Linked DNA regions of Xenopus tropicalis. The protein of the gene in region 1 purifies or fractionates together with the protein of each later gene. This does not show direct contact. Links are inferred from orthologs where the notes say so. Each region holds a gene or a part of one and is shown in the gene's direction. Other genes may lie near its edges. The genes, in order: smarca5, rbbp4, myo1c, baz1b, baz1a, baz2a and hmgxb4.

The links.
Region 2: the proteins of smarca5 (region 1) and rbbp4 fractionate together in Homo sapiens (co-fractionation; 6 studies listed by BioGRID and IntAct, with this or other methods). This does not show direct contact. The link is inferred for Xenopus tropicalis from reciprocal best matches to the Homo sapiens genes SMARCA5 and RBBP4.
Region 3: the proteins of smarca5 (region 1) and myo1c purify together in Homo sapiens (affinity purification with western blotting; 3 studies listed by BioGRID, with this or other methods). This does not show direct contact. The link is inferred for Xenopus tropicalis from reciprocal best matches to the Homo sapiens genes SMARCA5 and MYO1C.
Region 4: the proteins of smarca5 (region 1) and baz1b purify together in Homo sapiens (affinity purification with western blotting; 11 studies listed by BioGRID and IntAct, with this or other methods). This does not show direct contact. The link is inferred for Xenopus tropicalis from reciprocal best matches to the Homo sapiens genes SMARCA5 and BAZ1B.
Region 5: the proteins of smarca5 (region 1) and baz1a purify together in Homo sapiens (affinity purification with western blotting; 8 studies listed by BioGRID and IntAct, with this or other methods). This does not show direct contact. The link is inferred for Xenopus tropicalis from reciprocal best matches to the Homo sapiens genes SMARCA5 and BAZ1A.
Region 6: the proteins of smarca5 (region 1) and baz2a purify together in Homo sapiens (affinity purification with western blotting; 3 studies listed by BioGRID and IntAct, with this or other methods). This does not show direct contact. The link is inferred for Xenopus tropicalis from reciprocal best matches to the Homo sapiens genes SMARCA5 and BAZ2A.
Region 7: the proteins of smarca5 (region 1) and hmgxb4 purify together in Homo sapiens (affinity purification with mass spectrometry; 3 studies listed by BioGRID and IntAct, with this or other methods). This does not show direct contact. The link is inferred for Xenopus tropicalis from reciprocal best matches to the Homo sapiens genes SMARCA5 and HMGXB4.

The regions. Positions count from the first base shown.
Region 1 is NC_030677.2:59,221,623-59,225,222, reverse strand, and holds the end of smarca5 (SWI/SNF-related matrix-associated actin-dependent regulator of chromatin subfamily A member 5), read left to right. Parts: coding exon 1-122; intron 123-385; coding exon 386-504; intron 505-1,082; coding exon 1,083-1,295; intron 1,296-1,942; coding exon 1,943-2,053; intron 2,054-2,240; coding exon 2,241-2,306; 3' UTR 2,307-2,686; downstream 2,687-3,600. UniProt on the Homo sapiens protein: ATPase that possesses intrinsic ATP-dependent nucleosome-remodeling activity.
Region 2 is NC_030678.2:90,301,612-90,305,349, reverse strand, and holds part of rbbp4 (histone-binding protein RBBP4), read left to right. Parts: intron 1-1,850; coding exon 1,851-1,977; intron 1,978-2,873; coding exon 2,874-2,951; intron 2,952-3,244; coding exon 3,245-3,324; intron 3,325-3,552; coding exon 3,553-3,610; intron 3,611-3,738. UniProt on the Homo sapiens protein: Core histone-binding subunit that may target chromatin assembly factors, chromatin remodeling factors and histone deacetylases to their histone substrates in a manner that is regulated by nucleosomal DNA.
Region 3 is NC_030678.2:45,982,567-45,986,999, forward strand, and holds part of myo1c (unconventional myosin-Ic), read left to right. Parts: intron 1-1,961; coding exon 1,962-2,033; intron 2,034-3,681; coding exon 3,682-3,801; intron 3,802-4,433.
Region 4 is NC_030678.2:41,867,382-41,871,814, reverse strand, and holds part of baz1b (tyrosine-protein kinase BAZ1B), read left to right. Parts: intron 1-193; coding exon 194-341; intron 342-1,696; coding exon 1,697-1,806; intron 1,807-4,120; coding exon 4,121-4,254; intron 4,255-4,433. UniProt on the Homo sapiens protein: Atypical tyrosine-protein kinase that plays a central role in chromatin remodeling and acts as a transcription regulator. Involved in DNA damage response by phosphorylating 'Tyr-142' of histone H2AX (H2AXY142ph).
Region 5 is NC_030684.2:109,364,691-109,369,123, reverse strand, and holds part of baz1a (bromodomain adjacent to zinc finger domain protein 1A), read left to right. Parts: intron 1-352; coding exon 353-440; intron 441-885; coding exon 886-1,023; intron 1,024-1,479; coding exon 1,480-1,570; intron 1,571-2,927; coding exon 2,928-3,094; intron 3,095-3,856; coding exon 3,857-3,952; intron 3,953-4,257; coding exon 4,258-4,396; intron 4,397-4,433. UniProt on the Homo sapiens protein: Regulatory subunit of the ATP-dependent ACF-1 and ACF-5 ISWI chromatin remodeling complexes, which form ordered nucleosome arrays on chromatin and slide edge- and center-positioned histone octamers away from their original location on the DNA template to facilitate access to DNA during DNA-templated processes such as DNA replication, transcription, and repair.
Region 6 is NC_030678.2:138,720,111-138,724,543, reverse strand, and holds part of baz2a (bromodomain adjacent to zinc finger domain protein 2A), read left to right. Parts: intron 1-604; 5' UTR 605-613; coding exon 614-749; intron 750-1,098; coding exon 1,099-1,632; intron 1,633-3,014; coding exon 3,015-3,200; intron 3,201-3,590; coding exon 3,591-3,800; intron 3,801-4,433. UniProt on the Homo sapiens protein: Regulatory subunit of the ATP-dependent NoRC-1 and NoRC-5 ISWI chromatin remodeling complexes, which form ordered nucleosome arrays on chromatin and facilitate access to DNA during DNA-templated processes such as DNA replication, transcription, and repair.
Region 7 is NC_030680.2:122,056,303-122,060,735, reverse strand, and holds part of hmgxb4 (HMG box-containing protein 4), read left to right. Parts: intron 1-378; coding exon 379-460; intron 461-912; coding exon 913-977; intron 978-1,447; coding exon 1,448-1,553; intron 1,554-2,100; coding exon 2,101-2,270; intron 2,271-2,773; coding exon 2,774-2,896; intron 2,897-4,433. UniProt on the Homo sapiens protein: Negatively regulates Wnt/beta-catenin signaling during development.

The DNA.
Region 1 (3,600 bases):
CTGGAATAAGAGAGATTTCAACCAGTTTATTAAGGCTAATGAGAAATGGGGTCGTGATGATATTGAAAATATTGCGCGGGAAGTGGAAGGCAAGACACCAGAGGAAGTCATTGAGTATTCAGGTAATCCTTTCATTGTAGACACAAATGTTTTTAATTGCTAAATAAACTAGTACAGTATTGTGGATATTCACTGGAAGACCTTCCTAAGCTTAATATGCATTTAGCTTCTGCTTTCACATACTTTTTATTTATTTATTCTCAGGCTCCTGGGCAAGTATTTGCTATGAGACCTATAAAGTCATATTGCTACCTATAACTCTGTACTCAGAAGCCTGTAGTTTCTTTTTATTGTTCCAAGTAACAATTTAATTTTTTTCATTTAGCGGTCTTCTGGGAAAGGTGCAATGAGCTTCAAGATATCGAGAAGATAATGGCTCAAATAGAAAGGGGAGAAGCGAGGATACAGAGGAGGATTAGCATAAAGAAAGCTCTAGACACAAAGGTACCATTGGTATTTGCACACAGTTTAGACTGACGCTTTATTTTTTGCTTAAATTGCTGTGCACATTAAACCCTGCCAGTAGATCCACACACACACACACTAAGGTACAGAGTTATTTACATGCAGGCCTGCTATTAGAAACTCGTGTGGCTTTGAAGAAGAAAATCTGTACCGATTTTATGAAAACAAATTCTATGCAGTTTTAGTCCCCCTTCACTTTACTTGCTCTCACTGCTGCAGATAAATCTTTAGATGGCAGCTGACTGCTCTATGTGGAAATCATCAGCACTGCCCGATTTCAACCTGGTCCTACATCTGGTAAAATCTCAGCTGTTGGATTTTGCTGAATTGGGAGTGGGTTTGAGGTCCACCTTAGAACTTTCAGGATACTGGATAAAGGTCCAGTATCTGTATGCTGTTTCGCTGGGACCCTTTGCCCCTTGGTGGCTGCCCTTTATACAGGACTAACCATGACCCTCTTGCTTCCTAAATGTATTTGTAAAATTAGAATGGAACTCCTTATTGCAAATTTTACGCTACACAATTACGTTTAGACTAATGTCACTTAATTTTTTTAGATTGGAAGATACAAAGCACCTTTCCACCAACTGAGGATTTCGTATGGTACAAACAAAGGAAAAAACTACACTGAGGAAGAGGATCGTTTTCTCATTTGCATGTTACACAAGCTAGGTTTTGATAAGGAAAATGTGTATGATGAACTGCGGCAGTGTATACGGAACTCTCCCCAGTTCAGATTTGACTGGTTCTTAAAATCAAGAACAGCAATGGTGAGTCTTAGCTTTCGATTTCTTCAGGAAATACAATAAATTTGGATTTAATCTGTTTTTTTGGTTTTTTTTTTATTTTAAAATGTTACTTCCACTATATTTTTTCTCATTGAGAAAAAATTAGTACTGAATAGAATTAGTACTGTCAGTGCATCAGCTTACAAAGCTTGACATGTGGCATCAACCAGTACGGTTTGGGTGTTAATATCCTGGTTCTGTGACCTGTAGGAGGTGAATATTTGCCTGCCCTGCAGCTGGTTGCAGCCCCGGCAAAATCCCATCTGGATGTATAGCTGGCAGTGACAATATTGTTTCTGCAATTAGACATGTATGCTGTTGGCCTGTATATTTGATATAGGGTATTCTCCTGCAGCTAATGGTGTCCTTTAAAAATGCAGTTTACAATGTGCATTGGGATTTCATTTGTATGTTTTGTGGTTTCTTAGTTCTCCGCATATATCTGGTTGCTACGGGACTGAAAGATGAATAGGAGAGAAAAAAATATTCTGACTTTCACTCTATGCACTTAAACCACTGGAAAGGTGCAGAGTAGGTTTAGCTATCACACACCTATAAAATTGGCAGGTACATTAACTTAAAATGTAATAGAAGTATAATGGGCTTGATAAATGCAATTTGTTTAATAGGAGCTTCAGCGAAGATGCAATACCTTAATCACTTTAATTGAAAGAGAGAACCTTGAACTCGAGGAAAAGGAAAAAGCTGAGAAGAAGAAACGTGGACCAAGGCCTTCATCGGTAAGTGTGTTTAATTCTAAAGTTGCTGCTGGCCAATATTTTTTCATAGATAGCTCTGTCCCTACATTTAATTGCAGTGAAATCCAACATTTGGCTCAAAGCTCACTCACAGATTATTAAGACATGTTTAGTATATCTGCAGACTGAGGAGAGTTCAATGATTTTAACTATGGTCTTAATGTTGCAGGCTCAAAAACGAAAGGTGGATGGAACACCTGATGGCAGAGGAAGAAAGAAGAAACTGAAGCTCTGAGACAAATTTGTAAAATCAATAAATTTCTGAAGTAGTTTTTTACGGGTCTTCATAAGATGTACTGTACGCTTATCTACTATTATGTCATTCAAAGACATTGGGTTCACCTGTTTACTGAAATAGGAACATAGTACTTATTGTAGTTACCCTTTTTAAATACAACAGCTGTGCTGGGTTTTTTTTAGCCATTAACAGTTGAAGTAAAAAATAGGCTTCATTAATTAATGTGCTTTTCTTAATGTTTTTCCCCCCTCCTTCCCTGTCCTTGGACAGCTTTTGAAACTCATTGTGTATATTTTTGTAAAGTATTATTTTTGTATCTTTGGATTATTATCAACATGCACACTGTTCAGAAGAATACAACATTCTTGTCTAGTAAATTCCTAAATGTTTGCTTCAAATTCTTTCATATGTAAATATAGTACAAATGCATCTAGAATGACAGTGGGGATGTAGACATAAAGTGTGTGTGTGTGTATATGGTATCTATCTGGACACCTGCCTTATAAGCATCTAGTTCTAAGACCAAAGGATTAATATTGAAAATATTTTTTATGTTAAATCAGATATCATTGTTCTGGGTGGAATAGATGTTGGAACATTCTGACTCAAGAGTATTTGTCAGTTTGGGTACTAATGCTTGGTTGAGGCCTGCCTCACAGCTAGAGTTTTAATTCATCCCCCAGGAGTTCAGTTGAGTTGAAGTCCAGGCACCATGCAGACCAAGCAAGTTCCTGAATTCCCATCTCAGCTAATTCATTCTGTACAGACCTCACTGTACATGAGGGAATTGTATACAGTGTACCTTACTCTACAATATCATTCTTGCCATTGTCATACTCTGCCTGCCCTACGCTGCCTGTGTGCGCCATACTCTGCCTGCCCTATGCTGCCTGTGTGCCATACTCTGCTTGCCGTATGCTGCCTGTAGGAGGGGGTTATGAAATTTGTGGTTCTTAGGGGGTTCCAGGCTGTTTAATTATGTGTTGGGGGTTGCTTTGCAATACAAACGAGGAGGCAGCATATGGATTTAAGGGTATATTTTTAAAAGGAGAACTAAAGCCTAATTAAAGAAGTTGGGCTAAAATGCTTTGTGCTTCTGTACCAGCCCTTTAGCAGGGGAGATCTGTAATGCCAAAGATGCCCCAGTAGCTCCCTATCATCTTTTCTGCTGAATCAATGTACATGCTCTGTGGTGCTGACAGTTACTGAGCTTAGGGGCTGACACACATTATACTGTATATATGAAACATAAATGTCACAATATAAGGTTGACTAGTAATTAATACAGATA
Region 2 (3,738 bases), on another chromosome or scaffold:
TTCAGCACTTCCTAGATGTCACTGCACATCTCACTTTCCCCCTCCCTCCTCCTCATCTAACTGTGTAGCCAGTGCATGGGCCTGGGCATCAGGTCCCCCATTCTATCACATACACAAGATTTTGGGGTGATACAAAGCTTGCCTTAATAACAGTGCCCACAAAATGGTGCCTGCCTGCTTGCTTTGATTGAGTAATTCCAAGACGGAAGGAAACAAGATTTATATTATTTATATAGAGTAAGTAAAGTTTAATTTGCTCAACTAACAATATAGAAAATAATTTGGAGTTATTTCTTAGGGTGACAGGTCCGCTTTAACAGGGAAAATCTGTGCCCTCAGTATCTTCCCTATATTCTTTTCTGCTGATTCCCTGCACTTACCTGAGCTTAGGGACCAATTCACAATACATGGATATAGAATATATATGCTGCATTATAATTAATTGATAAATATATATAATGTATTAGTAATTAATACAAATAATTACTACATGGCAGCTTTAAAACCAGTGCAATTAGTATCAGAATGTAATAATCAGCCCTGTGGTATCCACTTATATGACGACCTTATATTTTGCTTGATAATTTGCAACAACCCCTAAGTTCAGCTGCCCAGATCACAAAGAGCATGTGGGTGTCGCAGACCCTTTCCAAGATGGGGAGCTCCTCTGACAAGTTTGAAGTTGTGGATCATTGTTGCTATTGAGATGCTGATACTTTAGGCTGGTGCAGTAAGTTCAGTATATAAAATATGGCATTTTTAGCCATATTCATTTTTAGGGTTTAGTTCTCTTTTAAAGCAGTTGAATTGCATTTAGAGTAACTGGATTTAATTTATGAATCCTTTATGTACTTACTGGACAAATTCCTGAATAACATTAATGTAAATGTAAAGTTTTTTTTTTTATGCTGGTGGAGAAAAATGGAATGGCTTGATTCAGTGATAGAAACGGCATCTGCTTGTCATTGCACATACTGGGTGGATTTTTTTTGTCCTAAAAATCAACACTTAGGGGCCCATTCATGAAACCTCAGTTTCTGGTTGTTAAATAGTACACATGGGTTATTTTTAAGTTCTCTATTGGAATTATTTTGGAAAAATTTTTTTCTACGCACACGTTCAAATTAGGTAGAAGTCTGCCACTGCATAAATAAATGAATAAAGGCAATAGATCATTGACATTTTTTATGCAGATTTAATGCTGTGGAGAAGGAAGAAGTCTATTCATAATTGTGGATGAGAACCAAAATTAAAGAATAGCCAGTGGAGTTAATATTAAAAGCTAAAAATATGGAAAAAAAAATTTGTGGTTTCGTGAATGGGCCCCTTAGTGTGATAAAGGGTCAAGAGGAAACCCTTAAATAAGTATGGTATGTTAAGCTTATATTACTTCTGTGTAATTATTTTGCATCATTATTAAATGAAGCACTCACTGGGAACTTTCTGACTGTGCAGTACTGGTGAATTTCAGTGCTGTAAAGGCACTTTTAAACTTGTTTAGTAGTTTGTTGTTGTTTGTTTGTAGTTATTGACAAATTAAAAATGTAATTCAAAATTATGAAAAAGTGTACTTCCATTTTGCTGTTTTCTGGCTTTAGCTGAAGTGCCAAACAAGCAGAGGCACGAAGTTTAGTTTTGCTCCCAAACCCCCACCAGTGTCATTTTGGCTGGAACTTTGCCTATTACCATATGTATACCTTCATTTTACCTCCACCTTAGCTCCCAAGCCAGCCAGCAGTAACCAAAACTATAAAGTAACTTTCGTCAGCTAAAGCTTATTGCCTCTTCAGAGGGAACTTATTGTATTGCCTTTCTTAAGACTGGAGTGATAGTCCTATTTTTGTTAACAGCTGGGACACCCGATCAAACAACACATCAAAGCCCAGCCACTCTGTGGATGCTCACACAGCTGAAGTCAACTGTCTGTCATTTAACCCTTACAGCGAGTTCATATTGGCAACTGGGTCAGCTGACAAGGTAAACATTACATTTTACCATATGTTGACTGACTTTTTTTGTGTATTAGTAAAGTTCTGAATCCTGTATCACGTGTCCCTTGTACCAAAGAAATTTAGTTTTTAGGATGCATTCAAAGGACATTTAAGTTAAAAGGTGCAAGTTTGTATAGCTGTGTAGAATACAGTGGGTTTTTTTCTTGAGCAGGAAGAATGTGGTTCTTATAGACTAGTGCCACGTGGGATGGATACCAAGCCTGCAGATGAAAGTGGAATTCAGAGCAACTGCGTATGCAGTTTCGTACCATATTTTGCGTAATATTTTAACCCGAAACTGCATGCTCGAACAGCCGCTTCCATATATTTAGAGTGTAGGGGGCAGGTTCTCGGCCTGCACTTATTCCCGAGGTTAAGAATCTGCCCCCCAAGTGCCACAAGCCAAATGAACTGTAGAATGAAAACCATTTAAAATATTCCATTTCTTGCAAATACATTTTTTGGGCACAGACTTTAAATGTAAAAAAAAAAAGTGTACTTGATTACGTTACTGGTCACGATTCAGGCCAGCTTTATTGTAGTATTTCTAACTACTGTGGGGTTGTCGTACAAAATAACACATGGCCTGCTGTGGCCTGCTTTCAAAGCAAGGGTCGGTTGTAATACATACTTTACAAAGCAATGTGGAAAGCTGTTGGAAATTAGTGTGTATGAGTACTTTTTTAAGCCTCATGCTGTAGACAGATTTAAACAGCTACTTTTAGATAGGATCACAAGTAGTCTGTGCAATTCAAGTGTATATATTTTGCTCTTGTTTGGCCTAATGTGTTTTGCATGATGCATCTGGATTTTTAAGGGCCCTTTTTATTCCTACCAAATGATTTCTAACGTTACACTATATTTCCCTCGTCTTTCTCTCAGACTGTTGCATTATGGGACCTACGCAATCTGAAATTAAAGTTGCATTCATTTGAATCTCACAAAGATGAAATTTTCCAGGTATTGTCTTGAATTTTTTTTTTATCATAGCTTTTAGGGAACAAAATGGTTTACACTGTCTGCTTTAAGGGCAAATGAAGGCAAAATGGAAGTATGTATAAAGGACTTTAACCCCACTTGTCACTTTGATCTGACCCTATAAGACTTGGGTCTGACGTAATACAGTCTGTAGCTGTCTTCTCATAAAGGGTTACTATTTTGAGATAATGTGCACAAATTGTAAGCCTGACATGTATATTGTGAAATGCAGAATAGCTAGAAATAACAGATTTCATAATTTTTTTTTTTTTGAGCAGGTCCAGTGGTCCCCACATAATGAGACCATCCTGGCATCCAGTGGAACTGACCGTAGACTAAATGTTTGGGATTTAAGGTAAAGAAATGATCTGACATCCTGTTTAAGGAAAAACTTTCAAACTTATTGAATTTAAAATGGATCCTTACAATTGATCACAACAAACTAATTTCCAAAGTATAACAGTTTCCCAGTAAGACTTGAGAGAAATACTGTGTACTTGTATATTACTATGCATTCAGTTAGTAAACTCTTCACTCGCACTCGCCCGTAGCTTCAACACCAAACTCATTTTTTCTTAAACAGTAAAATTGGAGAAGAGCAGTCTCCTGAAGATGCAGAAGATGGTCCCCCTGAACTTCTGGTAAGAACGAATAGCATACTGTTACATGAAATTCCAGGATACCCAAAAATATAGTACAGGTATGGGACCCGTTATCCAGAATTCTGGGGACTTGGGGTTTTCCGGATAAGGGAATAATTCAGATCTCC
Region 3 (4,433 bases), on another chromosome or scaffold:
TAGAGTTGCGGGACAACCTCAATAAAGTCCGCGAATGGGTCCTTCTCCTGTGTAGGCAATACAACGCCGAGTCCGAGCGCTATCTGGCGGGAACGAGCAGCTGCGAATCCATTTACCATATATGCGCGTATATGCTCGAGTATAAGCCGAGGGTTCCTTTTTCAGCACATTTTTAGTGCTGAAAAACTCGGCTTATACTCTAGTATATACGGTAAGTAACTTACATTTTTTTTTCAAGGTAATTCTCAAATATTTTTATCCAGTAGTTATAGTTAAGTTGAAAAAAAAAAGTCCATCAAGTTCAACCCTTCCAAGTGAACTCCAGCACACATAACCTATCCTGACCTGTCTATACACTTGCATACTGTGCATAAACTATATATACCAACATCAGTACTAATTGTAGCTTTTAGTATCCCAATAGCTTTGAACATTATGCCTGTTCAAGAAATCATCCATCACTAGGAAGGACATTCCCCAGCCTCACTGCCCTCACCATGAAAAAGCACCTATGCTGATTCAAATGAAAGTTCAGTTCCTCTAATCTAAAGGGGTGGCATCTGGATCGCTGATCCTTTTTATGGGAAAAAAAAAAAGAACACCCCTATCTGTCTATAATCCCCTCCAATGTACTTGTACAGAGTAATCGTGTCCTCTTGCAAGTGTCTTTTTTTTCTCAGAGAGAACAACCTCAGCCTTAACAGTCTAATATCATAGTTTAAATCTCCCATTCCCTTTATCAGTTTAGTTGCAGTCTCTGCACTCTCTCCAGCTCATTTATATCCTTCTTAAGGACTGGAGCCCAAAACTGCACTGCATAACTCTAGGTGAAGCCTTACCTGGGACCTATAAAGAGGCAAAATAATTCCCGGTGCTCGACGACGAAATGTGGTCGGATGCCCTTCTGCAAGTGACAGAAATATCAATCTGTATGAGGGACAGATATATTCAGATAAAATTTTTAAACAGAGTGTACCTAACCCCCCACCGCCTGGCCAAAATGTATGAAAATGTGTCTGTGTCCCAAGTGCAGAAGTGATGTTGGTACTCTGTTTCATGTTTTCTGGTCCTGCCCAGTGATACAGAGATTCTGGGGCGAGGTTCTACAGTTCCTTAATGAGAACCTTGCCTTCCCAAACATACACTCCCCGGAACTCTGTCTGCTAGGACTAACCGGTGACCTGCACCTCCACTCCTACTCTAGACTGTGCTATTTGCAGCTGCTTTACTACGCTAAGATATCCATTCTAATGCACTGGAAGTCCCTAGATCCTCCTCCTCTCCAATTTTGGCGGAAATGGTGGATGATTCCCTTCCCAGTCAGAAACTGACTTATCTAGCAAGAGGGTGCCCGGAGAAATGTAATGCCGTATGGGGCACGTGGCTGGACCTATAAATTTGGTGCATATGGAGGATCATTAGCCTTGCGCAGCCAGAACTGGTACCTTAGACTCACCCCCCTTTTTTCTCTTTTCCTTTCCTTCTCTACTCTGTTTTTTCTGTTGTTCAATTGTTTGTAAATATAAAATATGCAAAATAAAATCTTTAAAAAAAAAAAAAAGGCAAAATGATTTTTTCATTCCTTGAGTTAATGCCCTTTTTATGCAAGACAGCACTTTACTTACTTTAGTAGCCACCGAATGACATTGCCTGAAATTAGACTTGTAATCTAAAAAAAAACCTCAGATCCTTCTCATTTCTACCAAAGTGCATAACGTTGGTATCATTTTTTTTTTTTCTCTCTCTGTTCCTAGTCAGAATAATCAAAACCATGAATGTTTCTATTGCAAATAAATACAGAAATTCAGAAGTACAATGTATTTATAAAACAAGGAAGCAGACCTTATGTATTACATTTTCTTTTTGTTTAATTGCAGCGAGTTGACGTAGCAACCACTTTTTGAACAACTTTTTTTAACCCAATGAATGTTTTTACTTGCATTTTTAATTGCCTCTTACAGCTTTTGGCTGTTGATGCTGCTGCCTTGCGTGAATCTCTTATACACAAGAAGATCATTGCAAAAGGAGAAGAAGTAAGTGTTCCTTGGATACCTATTCATTTTAAATCATAATTGACATTTAATTCTTAATTGAATATAAAACTTATGGCACAAATTGATTCCCCATGTCTTGACATCTTATATGGGCAGCAGAGGGTCTGAATGCAATTATGAACAATAATAAAATTAAGAATGATGAAATTAAAATCTGTTTATTGGTTTCCCCAGGTCACTGGCCTGACCAGCTTTGTATTCAGTTGCTGAATGAGATGGAATAGTATAAAAAAAAAAATTAAGATCAACTGGGCATAAAATACGCCCATGTATAGAAGGGTAATTGGGTATTTTACTCCCCCATGGGCACAAGTGCAGAGGCGCACCCTTTTGGTGTTTGTTTACAGGGTACTTGTGCCCGCTATATCTTGCTCCTCTGAATGATGAAGAGGACAGGGGGCAGTAGGAGAGATGTATACATGCCCCCCCCCTTCCCGTCTTTTTTTAGGTCAAGTCCTGACTAACAGTCAGTGCTTGATCAATTGGGCATGCTGCTGGTCTTTGTGCTCTGAAAAAGGATGCACATGAGCATGATGCCTCACACAGTGTGCAAAGTGCAGAAAATGGCCAATTGCAGTTTTTTGGGGGGTTTTTTGCACACTAAATGGTAGTGCGTTGTAAATTAGTTTTTAAGGGGCCGATTCACTAAAAGTCGATAATGCTTATTGCATACTTTTTTTTGCGTTAAAAAGTATGCAATAAATAAGTACCAATTCATCAACGTTATTTCACATGCATTATAACTCATTCAACCGCATGCGTTAAACGCATTGCGGTAATTTTCGCATAGAAATAATACTAACGCGTGATTCACAAACACATATGAAGCGTTCAATGCGTAAAAAGGGGCGATAATTACTGTGAAATATAACGCCTCCCAGGAGTAGGCGTTACTAAACAAAATTGCAGCTGGTGATTGTCTGTGGTGACAAGATGGAGTTTGCAGTCAGATTTTTGGTATGTGTTCTTCCTAGAGCAGGGGTGGGCAAACTACGGCCCCCTTAAAAGAATGACGGGCTCTGATTGGTTGCGCCCCGTGCGTGCGCACAGCGTCAGCACGCACGGGGCGCAACCATATAAAAGAATGCACTGGGGAGCCGGGGAACAGAAGGATGGGACGGAGGAAGCAGCGGGGCGTAACGCTGTTCCGGCCCGGCCCGTATGTTAATTAATGTGGCCCCTGAGCTAAAAAATTTGCCCACCCCTGTCCTAGAGTGATGCATGCTTGTGTTTTCAGGGAAATGGTAATCTTCAGAACAGTAGTTTTCAGAAAGTAACTGCTACGTGCGTAATAGCATGCGCTAAAATCAAGTCCGGCAAAAAATATCACACGCGGTGAAAATTATCGTGCATGCGTTAAAATATCGCTTTAAAACGCTCATTGCCTGATAAATAATGCTAAGAACACCACTTCTTAATTCAGACAAGTGTTCTTTTAGTGAATCGATCGTTAACTCTAAAAAAAAAAAAAAAAGTGATAATATTTTTAACACATGCTATAAATAGCACTCGTTTTATCGACCTTAAGTGAATCGGCCCCTAAGAGTTTATTTAATTGTGAAATTCCTCTATGTATGATTTAAATGCAATTGGGATAAAATATTTTTTTTTTATCTCCCACTTGTAGCTGAACAGCCCGTTAAATCTTGAGCAAGCTGCATATGCACGGGATGCCTTAGCAAAGGCAATATATGGACGCACCTTCTCTTGGCTCGTCAGTAAAATTAACAAGTCACTTGCATACAAGGTACAAAGTGCTATGATTTACTGATTATACTGTAAAAATGTGAGAAAGCACTGTTAGTGTGCCAAAATAACAGTTTGTGAGGTTGTGCATAATTGTGTTCCATTGTAGCAACATAAGCACTTACATATGACTGAGTATCACAAGTGTTATGACATTTAATTTGTTTTCCTTTTTGTTTTTCTGTTTGTCTACTCCATTCTCTCTTGCCAGTCTCTTTTGTTTTCTGTTTTTTCTTATGCTTTTTCTATCTTAACTGTTGCTGTTTTGTCAACCTAGCTTATTTTTTTTATATTTTTTGGTTCTACCCCTAGTGGTAGTTTTGTAGAAAATGCAGACAGGCTTCCCTGGCCCAGATTCTTGCCCCAGCAGTAGCTTGCTGGAATCTGCATTGAGGGCAGAACTGGTCCAGAAATTTTCTAAGGCATGCCAGAAACTGCAGGAAGGATTACCAGGCTGAGCATTTCCCTGTTTAATCAGACCTGGCTATTTAGCTCTTTTTATTCTCTTTAGTCAGCCTTTAATGGTAGGTTGATATGTAGATGAGAAGCAGAACCAATCCTGGTTGCTCTAGTGCTACCCCCTTATCTTGTCACCTTCCTGCACCTTAGGCCAAGGGGGCTTAGCAGTAAAAG
Region 4 (4,433 bases), on another chromosome or scaffold:
TTTAGCTTCAATAAACTACTGAAAAAGTTGTGGGTGTACTTTCCTGTTAAGAACAGTACTTAGGTTCAGTGTTTAATCTCCATTTAGGGTAGTTTGGTAAAAATTGTGCTACTAGGAATGTTTATAATTTTCGTGCATCATATTTACTATTTATATATATATATATATATTTTTTTTTTTTTTGTCTGCCCAGGTGAAGATGACAAGCTAATTCTGTGTGATGAATGTAATAAAGCATTCCATCTCTTCTGTCTGCGACCAGTATTATTTAACATACCTGATGGAGAATGGCTGTGCCCTGCATGTCAGCCTGCAACTGCTAGACGAAGTTCTCGGGGCAGGTCAGTAATGTATAAACAAATATTTTCCTACGCTTGCAATAATTTCATGTACTGATTTTATAGTGTTCGATGCATTGTGCTTTGTGGCTGATAAGTTTGGCACAACAGCCCTGGCGAAGTCTCATAAATGGGGTGGAAACCTTGATCCTTATTCACTTATAATAATTAAGTCTTGCTTTGCTAAGTCCTGTGTTATGCCAACCTTTTTTTCTTTGTGACTTATTTGTTCAACCAGGCATTAGCCCCATTAGGGCAGTGGCAGACGTGGAGAATAGTCGCTCCGCAAAAAAACTCTGTTGTCTTGGGTGACTAATCTCCCTGCAGTGCCATCCCACTGGCTAGAATGTAAATCGCCGGTGGGATGGCATACACAGCGCTGCGATTTCCCCAAGTTGCCTGAAGTTGTCTTCAGAGGAAACTTCGGACAACTTCAGGCGACTTGGGGAAATCGCAGCGCTGCGTATGCCATCCCTCCCACGATTTACATTCTAGCCAGTGGGATGGCATCGCGGGGAGATAAGTCGTCCACAACAACGGAGATTTGTTGCAGCACAACTAATCTCCCCGTGTGTCACTGCCCTTATATTGAGTGTGCGCCTACTAAAAATTGTGATCTGCGGTTATATTAACAAGTATTTATAAAGCACCAGTGTATTCTGCATGCTGTTAAAAGGATGGGTGTATACATCAAATCTACAGTTTGCATACATAAATATAACTGAGCAAATTTTTGGGCAATGATGTAAATGGAGGTGGAAGCTTCAACTTTTCTGATGCAGCACCTTACATTAATAATATAATGCTTGTGATACTCACTAATGTTTGTTCCATATGAACTGGGCTGCCCGACATCAACATTTAAAGCATTGGGGAAAGTAGCTGCTGAAGGCTTGGTAAGGCAGATTTGCTGGGAGGAAATAGGGCAGTGTCTAGCAGCAAGTTTCGCCCCAGAGAGCTTATTAAAGTGATAGTAACACATTTCTGTTAAACGTAAAACACGTCACTATTACTTCTGAAGTCTGACATCCTAAGCTGGGCTGGTCCTTAACCATAGTCTTTTCTAAGCAACTGAGTGATGATCTAAAAATGAAGCTAACTGATGCTTACTTATGCTTAGTAATGCTTATAAAGTCATCAAGAAATGGTAGTTAATTTAAAATCTGGAAGACCAAGCAGGAGCGAGAATGTTGGTGAATTTGTGCCTTTATTGAAAGTATTATACTTGACACCCTGCTCTGATAGAGCGCAAGCAGCTCTGAATGTTTCCTACATTTTATATAGATGCTGTTGAGTGTAAGCCTATTTTCTGGTTTACACGCCAAGCATGTGTTTATAATGAATTTTCTGTGTAACAGAAATTATGCTGAAGACTCCACTCAAGATGAAGAGGAGGAGGAGGAAGAATCAGAGGAGGAGGAAGAGGTGGAATCGGAGGAGGAGGAGCAAGAAATGATGGGACAGAGATGTAAGTAAAATGAATGCTTTCAGAAAAGCTTCTAGGTATAGTATGTATGTAAAAGTAAAAATTGCTGTGATGGTGCTTAAAGCACTTACATCATTGGCAAATTATCAAATAATTCACATTTTTAAAAATGATTTCCTTTTTTCTCTAACACCTTGTACTTGATCCCAACTAAGCTGCATGAATCCATAATGGTTGGGTTTAACGTTTAAATGATTTCTAAGTAGCTTTAAAGCATGGTGATCCAAATTACAGAAAGATCTCATATCCAGAAAACCCAAAGTCCCATGCATTCTGGATTGCAGGTCCTATAAAACATTAAGTAATAACAGTCTGGAGATTTTGGGGGGGAAAAAGCTCAGTGTAACTGTCAGAACAATTCTAAACTTTGTATTTTGTGATAACACACCAACAGATTTAATAAGAGCTAAAGACAAATTCCTAAAAATTGTTGCTAATATTACTAAAAGACAAAATCTGAAAAAAAGTGAAGATATTTTTTTTTGTCTCTATCACCACTTTTGTCAACCCCCTCACCCCAGTTATTTATAAATAAACATTGTTCTGTATTTCAACCATGTTATTTACTATTAGTTTTTAGTGAAGGTGGAATATCAGCAATAAGGAAACAAGGAAAGCTACAGTTGAACATGCCATAATCAAATGGAGAACAAAGTGATTTATTTTGTGCTGCGTTTTCCAACATAGAATGTTTGAAGGGGTTAAATTCAGGGATAGAGCTTTGCAGCATTATGGTACTCAGAAGAATGAGAATTGTTGGCTTGTGCACACAGACACTGCCTACTCAACATGCTGTTGCCTTTTGAAGAGATGTTTGTGTGCAAGTGTTGGACATAAAGATGAAAGCCCAGGGATAGAACAGGATCAGCATTTCTGTGCAGGCAACAGCCGCCTCTCTAGAGTATGTGCTCACAGCAAGGCGGCAAGCGTACAAGCTCTGTTTTAGCCCTTGCTGTAGTAACACAACACATGTTTGCCCCCTTCCTTTAGTAAGTTAATTTTTCACTGATTAAGTTGGCAACTGCATGCTCCCACTGTGTGGCCTCCTTTTTTTGTTAGTACTATACTCATCTCTCACCAGCAGCAGCTGTAGCTCAGCAATGTCAGTGGGGAGGGGGCTGAGATGGGGAACAAATGTCTTCCTTCCAGTTGTCTGTGTGGATCAGATCTAATGTGGTCTTGTGCTTTTTAATACAAAGCAATATTCGCATGGAAGCTAAATAGAAACTACTATGCTATATTTATGAGCAGTTTATTTTACCATAAATAATCAGTATAAAACTCAGACAGCCTTTAAATATTTTTGGTCTTACTGTATTTATAGACAAATGTATCCAATATCCCTATTACAGGGATGAGGTATAAATCCAATATTACTGCTGCTATCCTAGAGAGGATTGTGCAGTTTAAAGGCCATCTATCACAAAAAAATGGTTTCCCTCACCAGAGGTGGTGTAAGCTATTAGAGCCTGTACTCCGGTAGTGGGAAACAATTTTTTTTTTCCTCTAAATCTGCCCCTTGCCAGCACTAAACTACCTGCACTGGGAGTTAGTTCACAGTGTGCACAGCCATGTTCAAGCACACACATGCACATAATAGGTGTCACAACTCACACATGTGCATGTGTATGATGGGAATCCCAATAGGATTGTTTTGACTCCAATAAGGATTAATTATAGCTTGGGATCAAGTACAAGGTAATGTCTTATTACAGAGGAAAAGAAAATCATTTTTAAATATGTAATTATTTGATTAAAATGGAGGCTGTGGCAAGAGAAAGCTTAGGGCATGTAAATGATCTGTCTAGTTTTTACTTTTTTTTTTTTTTTTAATGAGGTTTTTTATTTTATAAAGTAGCTATGGGAAACACAGTAGGAAATAGCACAGTAACCAGACAGGAAAAAAAACACCTGTGGAATATAGTGTCAAGGAGTGGATATCTTCTGGTTAAATAAAATGTTGTGTTGGCTGCTAGAGGGGGCAGTATATCTCCCCCCACCCCTTCCTCTGTATGAAGAAATCCCTCCTTTCTCCCAGCTACAGCAGCTCATTACACAAAAGCTTCTCAATGGATTTATTTTGATTCTCATTGAAAGAACAGGGGAAACTAAATCTCAAAAGCACTGTTAAACTGAAAAAAAGTATTGCATAATAAGTGCATTATCACACTTTTATCAAATTGTCCTAATAATTTAGTTTTTTCTAAAGGCGTCTTTGAAACACTTGGTATTTCAAATGTCTGCAGTGCCCCTCGTGCTTTTATATAGGTACCTTCATGTTTTTCCCTTTTTGTAGTGAGGTCCCGCAAAGCTGCAAAAGCTAAACCGGGCCGGCCTGCGCGACGTGGGCGTCCACCAAAAAACAGTAATCAATCTCGTGTCTCACGACAACGATATGTGGAAGACAATGAAGCTGATGTCGAGGAAATGGTAAAATAATTCTTCTAATGTTTGTTTTTGTTTAATAGTAAATATTTTAGTGATGTGTGGGTTTAACTGAAACCTGTGGTTGGGGGGTTTGGTTTCAAATGTGGATGACCATTGCAGGTTCGGGTTGGGTGTGAGTTGGACTAGAAAGCTGCTCTCCTCCTTTGCTCCAGGTTCCCTCT
Region 5 (4,433 bases), on another chromosome or scaffold:
CTTTATTTTTAAAGTATGTAGAAAACTTGCGCAATGGTAGGGAAAAAAATTATTTGGCATTTACACAAGGAACAGATGATGAAAAATGATTGAAAAAGTTGAGAAAATCTGACATTTCTTGCACAAGATTTGGCAAGAAAAATCAAAGAATTTTTGAAATTTTCATTAATCTCTCCTGAAATTTGAGTTCTGAAGAAGACAGTATTGACAGAATTCAGATGGAAAACTCCAGTTGCCAACAATGGCAATTAAAAAAAAAAAAAAAAAAACCCGTATACATTTTTTTTGATGAAATTAGGTTGTGTCTTCTTGCTCACAATTACAATAAACACCGGCTTTCATTTATTTCTAGTCGAAAACCATCGCTATTTTCCCAAGACAGATTGAAACTTTTTCTGAAGTTGCACTGTGAAGCACATGAAGGAATAATAAAGACTAAGGTAGAATGTTTTTTAAGTTTTCATTTTTTATTTTAATAAAATTGTCAGATGGCTCTGAATCAGACAATAAATAAATCTTAGGGACCAAATCTGTTTTTAGAAAAAAAAATCATATAGTACTGAATTGTTTTGTTTTTTTTTTTGCTGGTGAAAGTGCATTTGCTTGCCTGTGTTTTAGAGATGCAGAGAATCCAGAATTTGGTTTGGGATTCGGCCAAGATTCATCCTTTTTTCAGCAGGATTCAGATGAATCCATGCCTCTGGGTGAACCAAATCTGAATCCTTAAAATCATGTGACTTTTTGTCACATAAACCACTAGGTAAATTTTGAATTGATCTTGTCAGGAATATAGTATAAATAGATGCATATCTGCAGATAAACAAGGCCATGGGTAAAGGGATCTTTGCAATTTTTGAAACTATTTTCCATTTCTTTTCTGTGCAGCCAAGTTCAGTCACAAAATACCAAGTTTCTGTGAGAAATTTTCTCAATTATTTTCCTGAGGAGCCACCGGATTTTCAGCGCTCACCCCCAAATAAAAAAATAAGTGGAAGACCTCTTCCAAACAAGCACTTAAATCGGGTAAGCTGGATTGTTAATATTTTTTCCCCTTAATTTTAAACAAATTTTGTTCGTATTGAAGAGGGGGTCTAAATAGTTGAGTAGGAGCACCGTGTGCGTATCTTGATGGACTTATTAATTTTTAAGCAAAGCTGAACTATCATGTGCCATCACCCTGGGACCTAGTTATTGATGGTACTTTGTGTATAAAATACAAACTCTTCTTTCACTTTCAATAAAACAAGAGCCCTACATTAAAAATATCTTATTTTACATGCATATCCAGGTTTTCAATCCCTTTCGCACACTCGGCTAGGTAAATCCTGCGGGTTCCCCCTTTTCAGAGAGTGGAATGAGATGAATAGAAAAGAACTAGTGAAAATGATATATTTTGGTATAAAATAACTACCAAAGTGTTATAACTGTACACGATTTTTGTGTACATCAGTACTATCTTTTCTGTATTAATGTTAAAAGGGCAATGGATTAGCAAACAAACAGAAACAGATCCAAGCTGCAAAAGAACGAGAGAGAATCTTGCAACAGAAAAAGCAACTGAAAGCTATGGGTAAGGAAATCCCTGCTAACTACCACATTTTAAATTCTGGCTGTGCATCTGTTTGTTTCAACACAAAGTTTAACACAAACACAATTGTTGGTAACAATTCTTAATGCTGTGACTGTCACACTGAACACCATAGCTTTCTCACCTGTCTGTGATTTCCCTAAACCAAGGGGCATATTTATTATGCTGTGTAAAACGAATTCCCTAAAATAACGGTGTAAAAAGCTGTGTAAAATGGAGAAGATCGCCTTCCAAACACCAGATTTTACGTCGTTATTTTACATAAGTTCCGGCGGAAGAAAAAATGCGTGAAAAAATTACACCGTTTTTTACACAGCAAAGCCTGGTGATGTGTGGTGAATTTTCTCACCGTTTCTTACACACTGCCTGACGAAAGTTCCAATTGGGAACTGAAATGTTGGACTGAATAAAACCTCACTTTTTATTTCACCTGATATTTCCTGTGTGAAAATCCCTCTGAGTGCCGTCACTTCTCTCCTATCTGCATATTACAACATTGCACTGGCACCCAGGTAGCATCTAATATTAATGGTGTGCAGCTTACTGACTGTTTGTTTACACAGCATGATAAATACGCCCCCTAATGACTTTTTGATGATTTTGCTATGTGTCAAATCAAATAATGCTTTTACAGCAGGGGTCCCCAACCTTTTTTTTTTTTACCCATAAGTCACATTCAAATGTAAAAATAGTTGGGGAGCCATACAAGCATTAAAAAGTTCCAGGAAGTTGCAAATTAAGGATGTTATTGGCTGTGTGGTAGCCCCCCTATATAGACTGGCAGCCTAGAGGAACGAGGCTTTGTTTGGCAGTACACCAGGCTTTTATGCAACTAAAATGTGCCACCAAGTCTGGAATTCAAAAATAAGCACGTGCTTTGAGGCCACTGGGAGCAACATCTAAGGGGTTGGTGAGCTACATGTTGCCCCTGAGCCACTGGTTGGGGATCACACCTTGCCTTCCCACTTCCATTTTTAAGCAAAAAATATTTGTGTATGGCTGTCCATTTTCTAATGGAGATCTGCCCAATGTGCACTGGTAGGTTTCATTCATTCTTTTCTATTTACATATGGGGCAGCTGTGGGTGACATCAGCCTTTTCTCTGCCTTTTTGGTGGAGAAATTACTTTGTCTGACATAAACCTAAGGTATTATGCAGTGGAATCAGTTAATGCTCTGTAAATACAACAATACTACTGATATGGGATCCGTTATCCTGAAACCCTTTATCCAGAAAGCTCCCAATCTCACATAGACTCCATTTTAATCAATTAAATAGTGATTGCCTATCTGAATATCTGCTGAAACAGCTTCCTTGCTCTCTGTGAACGTTTTATTAGAAATGGAAAAGGCAAGGATGAGAAGAGAACGTGCAGTGGATGCAAGGTCCCGCATACAAGAGAAACATATTAAGGAAAGGCAAAAGGAAGAGCTGAAAAAAATAGTAGAGGTGGAAAGGTTAAAGAAGAAAGAAGAGAAAGAGAGGATGAAACTGGAAAAAGAGAAGGTAATGCACTCTTTAATGATCTACATACTAAAACTAGCAACTTAATTCAGCTTGTCCTACAGTTCTGACTATGACTCTTAGCATGCTTTAGTTCTTGACTGGAGTATGCTGTGAGTTATATAGGAATCTTAGCTTATCCCAGGGTCAGCAACACTAACACTAGACTTTAAAAGGAACCTGGTCAGTTTTTTTTTTTTGGTGGACAAGAAAGCCTGCTCTTTTTGAGTGACTCCAAATGAAGTCACTGGGAGGTGGTTACAGGCACTTGAGAAATGCTGCTTGTGACATTTACCTAAGGCATGGTTAAAACAAAGACAATGGTCTTCAATGAAAACAAAAAAAATATAAAAAATAGCATCATAAAATGTTATCTGCCCACTCTTCTCATCTGATCCTCCTAAAATAACATGCTTTTTAAAATATACATTCTGAATAGTGATTAGTTCAAATGGTTGCCTAGAAACTGCTGCAGTGTGGAATCCAAGATGGGGAGCTCCTGTGACAATTGTAACGACCTATATCACTACTACTATAGAGATGCTGAAAATTTAAGCCAGGGTTGTCATTTTATAATATAAAATATGGCATTTCTAGCCATATTCATGTTTAGTTCTCCTTTAAGGGTTTTTTTTTGTTTTGTTTTCTTAAATGGTCTCACTTATTGAGAAAAATCTATTTTTTTTTTTTTTTTTTTTTTTACCCCTAACTTTTAACACTGTTTTGCTCAACTGTAATGATTACTTCTGAATCATACTTAAATAGGAAAGGGAGAAACTTCGTGAGGAAAAGAAGAAATATGCAGAACGTCTCAAACAGTGGAGCAGACCTCGGGATGATATGGAGTGTGATGATCTTAAGGTATCGGTGACAAATGTTTTTATATAGAATTTTAGCTATGCACTAAGTAATGGTGGAGGGGCTTTTGCCATGGAGACACAGCCTTAAGGTGGTCTGAAATTTTGATTTTAGGAAAAAATACAAATTGTATATTATGCAGGTGTCACACTACATTAACTCTTAATATGTACATTTATATATATCAGATGGCAAAAGCACAAGGCAGTATTCTCAACTTCTAGTTTCACCAAATGGACTCTGTTTCTGAACCTGTTCTGAAAAAAATGTATCTAATATTAAATCCCCAAAAACGTATTGTATCTCAGGAGCTTCCTGAACCCACTCCAGTGAAAACAAGGCTCCCTCCTGAAAGTTTTGGAGATGCCATCATGGTGCTAGAGTTTCTACATGCTTTTGGAGACCTGTTTGACCTTAAGGATGAGTTTCCTGATGGAATGACATTCGGTAAGTTATTACCTATTCATAAAATTTTCATAGTAAG
Region 6 (4,433 bases), on another chromosome or scaffold:
ACCCTTTCTTTTACTAGATAGCTCTGCCATAGAGTTGTTTCCTTATCCTACTCCTAATTTAAGGAGGCCATATTAATGGAGCATGGGACATTGCATAGGAATGAATGGGGTGGTGATTCCACTTGCTTTATTGTGTCCTTCAAGGAAGTGCACAAGCACCTGTGTGCTATTACTGTTAAATCTCAGAATTCAGTGATGTAAACCGTGGGTTTTACACCAAATTTTGGTGGGCTGTGGCTTCAGTGGTTTGTTATAATAGCTGGAATCTGTCTGAAAGCAAAACCACTGCTTTGTGGGGTCAAATAAGGCGATTTAACTGTGTTTACACTTCCTTATGCAAGTGCAGTAACCATAACATTTTCAGTTTATGTAATTTGTTTTCCAGAGTTTTTTAAGCACTAATACAATATTTTTGATGAGTGTCCCTCTACCCTCTTGTGAAAAGTGTAATATTTGATGTCTGTTCCGTTTGTGGTTGTGGATGGTGCTTTCACCAGTAACATTGCTGTACATGGGTATTGTTCCTAGAGAACACACTGAGATTGGCTTAGTGTGGCATTTCATGTATATCTTGTGTATAAAGACTTGTTTCTATCTTTTGTAGGCTTTAGACATGGAGACACAAAATCATCTTTCTTGCACTGGACAAACACCTCTCACTAATGCCTCAGGACTAAAACTACTGCCTCAATCGGTGGAACCAGTTTACACAAACAGTACACTTACAAGCTTTTCCCAACATGGAAAGGGTGAGTAGCGGCCACTGTATTTGGCTGTACTTCTGCATCAGTAAAATTTAACTGTCACCAACATCAACCATTTGCGTAAGACTTGTGCTCACACCTGAGAATGAAGGCATAGTAGGTCTAATTTATGAATTCCCCCTGCTGCACCTCCAGCTTGTGGCACTGCTCACCTGTTTAGCCTGGGAGAGCAGCCAGCAGGAAGTGGATTGGTTGGCGGATGCTAGCAAGGATTTTGTAGCATGTTACAGTACAGTGGCATGAAAGGCTATTTTTAAAGGCACATTCCTTTTTATTTGTGTTTAGAATTTTAATAATAAGTTTTAATTATTTCTCTTATTTGTTTTATTTTCAGTGCTGAAGTATGACATGCCAGTCAATGGCCTAATCTCTCCCTCCTTGTCTAACAATGCTCATGGGACATTATTATCAAACGATCATATTACCCATAATTCTGTATCCAATAACTACGACTACCTCTGGAAAAAGCCCAAGTCCTCGGTGCATAAGGACTCTCGTGTACCTAGTCAGTTCTTAATAAATGGCTCAAGCTGTACAATAACTAATGGACCTTCCATTAAAAGAAGTCCACAGGAAACACTGGGAAACTGTACTTCAAACCAAACAGCTTCCTGCAACCTAAGCAGCAACAACTTGTGCAGTCCTAATGAAGCTGATATTAAGGTGGTAACTGCAGCTAATGGGACACATTATGGCTTCTGTGAAGCATCCCTTCCTGATTCTGTGTCGGCTTCCAGCATGCAGTCTGTTTCTGCTGATAACCAGGTCAAGGAGGGAACAGAACAGGAAAGTGAGGCAGGCACCTCTGAGAAGTATAATCGCACGCCCGAACTGGCAGAGGCATTGGAGCCATCTGATGCACAGACAGGTATGGATTTGTAGCCTGTAGGGTTGGTATATATTTTAACTATTTTGTCATTTTTTTGAGTGCAGAATGTATTTATATATTTACAGTATGGATTTGTCCCACCTTGTATACCAAATGCATATTTGTAGCACTTGTCAGATTGGTTTGATAGGAAATAGTCATGCTGATAATTAGTATAAAAAAGGAACATTCTTAAAAATATTATACAGTGAAACCTCAATTTTACAATCTCTAATTTTGTATTCCCTCATTTTATACCTTTTTGCGGTCCCACCAATATATAATACACACAAAGCATTTCCTTGATTTCACATTTTCCCTGATTTTAAAGGAACGGTAATACCAAAAAATGAGTGTTTTAAAGTAATTCAAATATAATATTCTGTTGCCCCGCACTGGTAAAAGTTGCGTGTTTACTACAGAAACGCCACTATAGTTTATATAAATAAGCTGCTGTGCAGCCATGGGGGCAGCCATTCAAGCTGAAAAAAGGAGAAAAGGCACAGGTTACATAGCAGATAACAGATAAATCACCATTGAATTCTACAGAGGTTATTTGCTATGTAACCTGTGCTTTTTTTTGAATGGCTGCCCCCATTGCTACACAGCAGTTTTGGTTATATAAACTATATAGTGTTTCTGTGGCAAACACCCCAGTTAGACCAGTAAAGAGCAACAATACATTATATTGTAATTACTTTTATTTTTTGGTGTTACTGTTACTTTAATCCATTTCTGGTCCCCTAAAAAATGTAAAATAGGGTTTCTACTGTGTTGGTGCTTAAAGCAACTATATATTGTTAAATGTTCATTGTGTACACCTTTCTCTGCTTTGCATAAAGAAATCTATTACCTTTTAAATGACTCCTTGCTATAAAATAACTCCATGGTTTAAAATAATAATAGAGCATGGGCTTTGTCACCCTTTTCATTGTGACCTGAACACTAAATGGTCACAATTTAAGTAGCTACTAAACAGGACACTACTACAGCAATTAAATATTAAGGAATATTAACATATATTGTACAACAAATGAATCACATTTAATAAGAGATGTTAAGGAACTCTGTGTTGGCTGTGGAATTAATGTACCAGGGATGGTTACAGAAGTTGGATTATTTCCAGTATTTGTCAAATGGGGGCAATTTAATAATAAAGGGACTATAATTCCACTAGAGGAGATCTTGATCTGCTAGTTTTGTTCTCCTTCATATGATAGTGCTGTCTTGGTTCTAAACACTGTCCAGTTATCTGCTGATCCTTTGTTTAACCATTTGCAGCTTAATATTTAGGGTTTTGGGATGTAGCTTTATGTCTTAAAGTTTTAATTCTATTTTTTGCTGTATTCTATCCCTTTTTTTAATTTTATTTCAATGGATAGATCTTAACAACATTTGTGAATACAAGGAAACAGACCTAGACCCTGTTATTCAGTCAGCACCCAACCCACTCCTTCCTCCTGATGTTAGCAATCTGGATGACCCATCCCAGCTTCCATCCCAGCTTGGGAAATCCCATCTTCTTAATGAAGATTCTCTGGAGCCCTTTGGAACAGATCTAATTCAAGGTAATGATAGTTGACAGGATTTGGTTTTATGTAGACATATTTGGGACTATATTTCCATCTAGTAAAATCACATGCTAAAATATCCTGCAGAAGTTTTTAATTACCTTTTAGGATTACATAATTGATCTTATACTCTAGTTTCCCCGAGGATGTGAGCTGTAGTTAACCTTACCATAAGGAAGCCAGGTGACAAAGTTATGGACAGACGTGGAATATGGTTGGGCACTGCAGTTTGTTTACTGGTAATGCTCAGTAATGTGTGCATGAGAAGCTAAAAGAAAGCCCTGTGGTTGTAGGATAGCAGTTAATGACGGTGGTAATGTTGTATTAGTGCTACATAGTTTGCAACTTATCAGTTGTTGCTCATGTTTTCATGTTTACTACTGACAGATCCAATAAGCAGCACCATGTATGATCTAGAAGAAATGGAAGTAGGTGGCATGCAACAAAAGGATCCACCGTTGGACGCCTCAAGCTTGGAATGCCCATCATACACCCTTTCTGCCTCCTTTCCGCTTATGGCTGAAGACACTCATAACTCTTCTGTCCTTTTTAATGCAGCATCTGCTTCCCCAGTTCTTGGAGATTCTGTAATGCAAGGTATATTTACATGTATAAAATTGCTTATGTTGGAACATATATTTTATTTTTTTAATGCATTTCTGGTATAGGGGTTTTAAAGGTTTGCACATGGAGTATTGATCATTTCTGTGCAAGGTTTGTCCTCCTACAAATGGGTGACAAAGTAGGAATACACTGCAGTGATTTTGTTTCTCCATCTCAGTACAAAGTGCTTTCACAGTGCAACTAAAACTTTTAAATACAAATATGTGTTTGAATGCACAGGACTCTTTTGCAAGGTCCTGTGTAGAAAGGCCCTTTTAATAGTAAAGGTATAGTCTTCTGTATATACTGACATCCTCCCTGTTGTGTTGACGTGTAAATTGTGACTGAGACTCTGTAGAGAGAATTTGCAGAGAGCTATGGCATGACCATTTTTGCCTACTGGTGCTCTAGTATTACATGGCCAGATTTGCCCGCACCTGGAAAATGGATGCCTGAAATCAGCAATAGGTGTATAAATTGCATAGGGCTGCTGTTCCTAGGAACGTAACCAGACAGCCATAATCACAAATTTAGAGGTGCACTGGACACTATTCTTTGCTATTCCTACATATGCAGATTCTACTAATTGCAGTCTTTGGAAGAGCTTTGTATTTGGCTTTAGTATTC
Region 7 (4,433 bases), on another chromosome or scaffold:
GGTAAAGCAAGTTTTGTAGTGTACTTACTTATCCAGCTTGAGTGGAATACATTTATAGCCCTGCCATGCCTTTGAAAAATCTTTTATCAGCTCTACTCCTGTCTGTCAGGACAGTGACATATGGTGGGAGCCTGATCTTTCTTTATCTCCCCTGGCACACAAAAAAAGCTCAGGGTATTTTGATAATCATAAAATTAGTTACTGTTAACAGAGAGCTGAGGTCTATTGGGCACCCATACAGGAGAGAAAAATCAACATTTTCAGAACAAGCTGGAATTTAAAGATGAGCTGTTACTAGGGCTATTTTAGGATAAGAAAATAGTGGATTTGATATAAAACTTCATTATCACTTACTGATGTATGCTTATCCACCACCAGCCCAAAAAGAAGAATATGTCTGCTTACCAGGTCTTCTCCAAAGAATATCGAGGTAGCATCATTGCAGAGCACCCAGGAATTGGTAAGTAATAAAGGCATATGTTTTTATATGAGAATTGGTATATATGTTTTGTGCTCAGTGTGTAAAAATATATAAATAAATTATAAAACAAAATTACACTCGGTCTTTTTTAAGATTCCCTGTGCCCTCTCAGCAGTAGCTTGTAGGGTAGCAGATAGTAGACAGTCTTTGCTACCAGGAAATTTTGCCTGTTTATGAATACGATTCTTCAATCACTAAGAGGCAACTGTTTGTCCAAGAAAACTGTCCTTTCCCCCAAACAACTCACTGTTAGAAACAGGTACGTATTTGTTAACAATAACAAATAGGTACCTGCGTTGTGAAAGTATATATAAATATAACACTTTTTTTTAGAAATGTCAAAAAGGGTATATTGTAAATTATGAATAAATTCTTCTTGGTATATTTGTTTTTTTACTTGCTATTTTACTCACTTTTCTTCCTGTTAACAGACTTTGGGGAGTTAAGTAAGAAACTTGCTGAGGTGTGGAAGCAGCTTCCGGAAAAAGATAAACTTGTGAGTTCCCTTTCTGAATGATTATATTACGTTTTATATAGAATTTTAAAATAATTTAAGTGCTTTGTACAGGCACTTACAGTTAATCAGGATTTTAAAAAAGTAAAATCCTGATTAACTGTAAGTTACCCATTGTTCAGTTCAATTCACAAAGAAATTTGAGTAGTAGAGTTAAGAAGTAGTACTTTTACAATGCTCAGCAGAACATTTTAGTGTTTTTAGTGTTACATGGCTTTAGAGTGTCTTTACGGGGGGTTTAGCCATGACGGAAAAAATAACCTGAGATTATTGTCCACTACTCCTTAACCCAAAGGGGCCCCCTTTTTGAGTTTTATCCTAACAAAGTGACTCCATAAAATATTAAAGTTTAATTTTTTTTACTTCTGTTTTCTTTCTAATGTAAAACAATGCAAAACTAATTTTAGGTGTGTGTAAGTTTGAGTGTATTTTTTTTTTTTTACAAACTGTAGGCTTGGAAACAAAAGGCTCAGTATCTCCAGCACAAACAGAACAAAGCTGAGGCCACTACTGTGAAACGGAAATCCAGCTCCTCTGAGTCTGCTGCAAGGAGCAAAGGTATTGTCCAGTGGCAGTCAGAATTAATAATGTACATAACAATTTTTACTGTGCCATGTTTCCTGCAAAGCTGCTGTTGTTAAAATACCAAACCCTTTATTCAGAAACTGGTTTACCAGCTAGGCACAGATCTGTGACTGCTTAGTCCACTTGGTGAGAATGAAGAGGGCAGCACAGTTCCATTGTACATTTGCCCATTTTGTGAAGAAATCTTCACAAAAACGTCATAGTGCTCTGATGTAAGTCTTCTACATGAAGACACCTCCAGCACACACAGGGCTACAAGAGCATGCAATGTAGCCTCTTATTGTGGAAAGGAAAGGCAAGATCACTCTAATGACTTCTTAGTGTTTAATTAAAATACTTTTAACATACTGTTGGTGTTGGGATTTTTGATTAAGAGGTAGTTTGCCTACTATTGCACTCAAGTACCAAGATTAATGATAGGCTGTTTCTGATAGCAATTAAGCAAATATACATTTCCATTTATATAATGATGGAACTGTTTGTCTTAAGTCTGTCATCCTTATGTATTCTATTTTTTCAGGCTCATCTTCCGGTCTCCCCTCCCCAAACAAGAAGTCACCAACCAGTGTTGTTTCCTTCTCCACCTCTCCAGCCAAGGTCCCTGACACAGAGCCAATTGATGTAGCTGCACATTTGCAGCTGCTAGGGGAGTCTCTAAGCCTAATCGGACACCGCCTCCAGGAGACAGAAGTTAGCATTTAATTTATTTGGTTTTTAGTAGTGGTAGTCCGCTTATGGATGCTAAAATGTGTAGAATTATTAGAGGTAGAGAGCTACAGGTTGTATAATACTTATTTCTTGCACCCTTAAAGCATGATTGACTAAATGTTGCAACAGTGCTGTTTCTGAGGCTGCTTTCACCTCAGGGAACATCCCCAGCAAAGTTCCCCCTTATTTCTTTTTGGCAGTGTGCACAAAACATTTGGGTGACTTTGAGCATAAATTTATAAAGCAGGCAATAAACGTACTGATTTCAGCAAATGTATTTGTGATGGTGTTTGTTTGTTTACAAACATATGAACACTTGTACAGTAGTTGGCTCATGTGCAATCAGTCAGATACTAAAGATTTGATAGTTGGAAAAAAAAAATCATTTTTATTTAAGGTAAAATAATAATAAGGTAAAATAATCTTTTCTTTGACTTATTATAAATCATCCTGCCTAACCATCTTTCCTTACTTATATTTCAAAGGGAATGGTTGCTGTCTCTGGCAGTCTGTCTGTGCTACTGGATTCTATCCTGTGTGCCCTGGGCCCATTGGTATGTCTTACAAGTCATGTGCCACAGCTCAATGCTTGCCCCAAGCAAATACTGGTGAGTATGAAACTGAGTGGAAATGTAAAATATTTATAATGGATTTGTTAATCTGGAAACACACACGCATTACAAATGCCTGCCTGTTGTAATTCTGTTGCATCATTTAAAAGTAAATCTCCATGATGTAAAGTACTGCAGAAAGTGTGCACAGAGAGAGAGTACATTTCTTCTAAGGACACTTGATTGTGCATTAGCTAAGGGTGTGCTAAGTATTTTTTGACATTACAGTGATGAAATTGGGAGCCAAGGGACTGCATTCCAAAGGCCTCAGAGTTTGCCATAAAGTAAATAATGATTAGGGTAAATATCACTCCACCAAACACACAACACTAGATGAAGATGTAAGTCAGCATACAAGTATAGTATGGACAAAGGACTGTATGGAACTGTCATCACAAATGAACCACTTAATTTTCTAATTCTTTTCTTCCAGTCTGCACTGACAGTCTGGGCCTATGAGAAAAAAAAGTTTCCAGTTAGTTCAAAATCTCCTTTTTATCCTCACACAGGCATTAATAGTGTTCTGTTATTTTCTGCCAGATTGATCCTAATGTCACATAAAGCCTTTTCTCTGCCAGTAGCTAAAACACCAGTACTGCTCTGAAGTGGAAGCAGCCATTCGGTGTTGGACTGGCCCACCAGGATACCAGGAAAACTCCCGGTGGGCCCAGGTGTCATTGGGCCCTCCTGCTCCTGACCCATCTGGTTTATGGTCATTCCCTATTTCTGAATGGAAAGAAAGAGGAGAAATAAATGGAAAATAGATGCTAGCATGTAAATTAGGAGACTAGGAGAATGAAGAGTTTGGGTGAGAAAAGAAGGAAAAATAGTTTGGAAAGCAGAGCCTAGGGTCTAAAGTTTTCTGGTGGGCCCCTGGGGTCCCAGTCCGACACTGCAGCCATTGACTTAAATAGCAACTGTCTGATACTGTTAAAGTTAAATCCACCGGCAGAAACAGTGGAGGTAGCAACACTGTGCTATTAGCTGTAGAGCTATGCTACATGGGGTGTTTTGTTCACTGCTGCTATCTGGCCAAAAAAAATCAGTGGTCAAAATGCCGCTGTGCATAAATGAAGTGTCGTACAGAGCACATGTGGAGCAGTGCAGAAACACTCAAGGAAATAAAAGTATAACATATTAAAGGAACGGTAACACTAAAAAATAAAAATGTTTTAAAATAATTAACATATAATGTACTGTTGCCCTGCACTGGTAAAAGTTGCGCGTTTGCTTCAGAAAGACTACTATAGTTAATAGAAATAGCTGCTGTGTAGCCATGGGGGCAGCCATTTAAATTGAAAAAAGGAGAAAAGGCACAGGTTACATAAGAAGATAACAGATAAACTGTGTAGAATACAATGGGAATCTGCTACTTATCTGTTATCTGCTTAGTAACCTGTGCCTTTTCTCCTTTTTTCAATTTAAATGGCTGTCCCCGTTGCTACACAGCAGGGTATTTATATAAACTGCAGTAGTGTTTATGAAGCAAACTCACAAATTTTACCAGTGCAGGGCAATAGTACATAATATATTA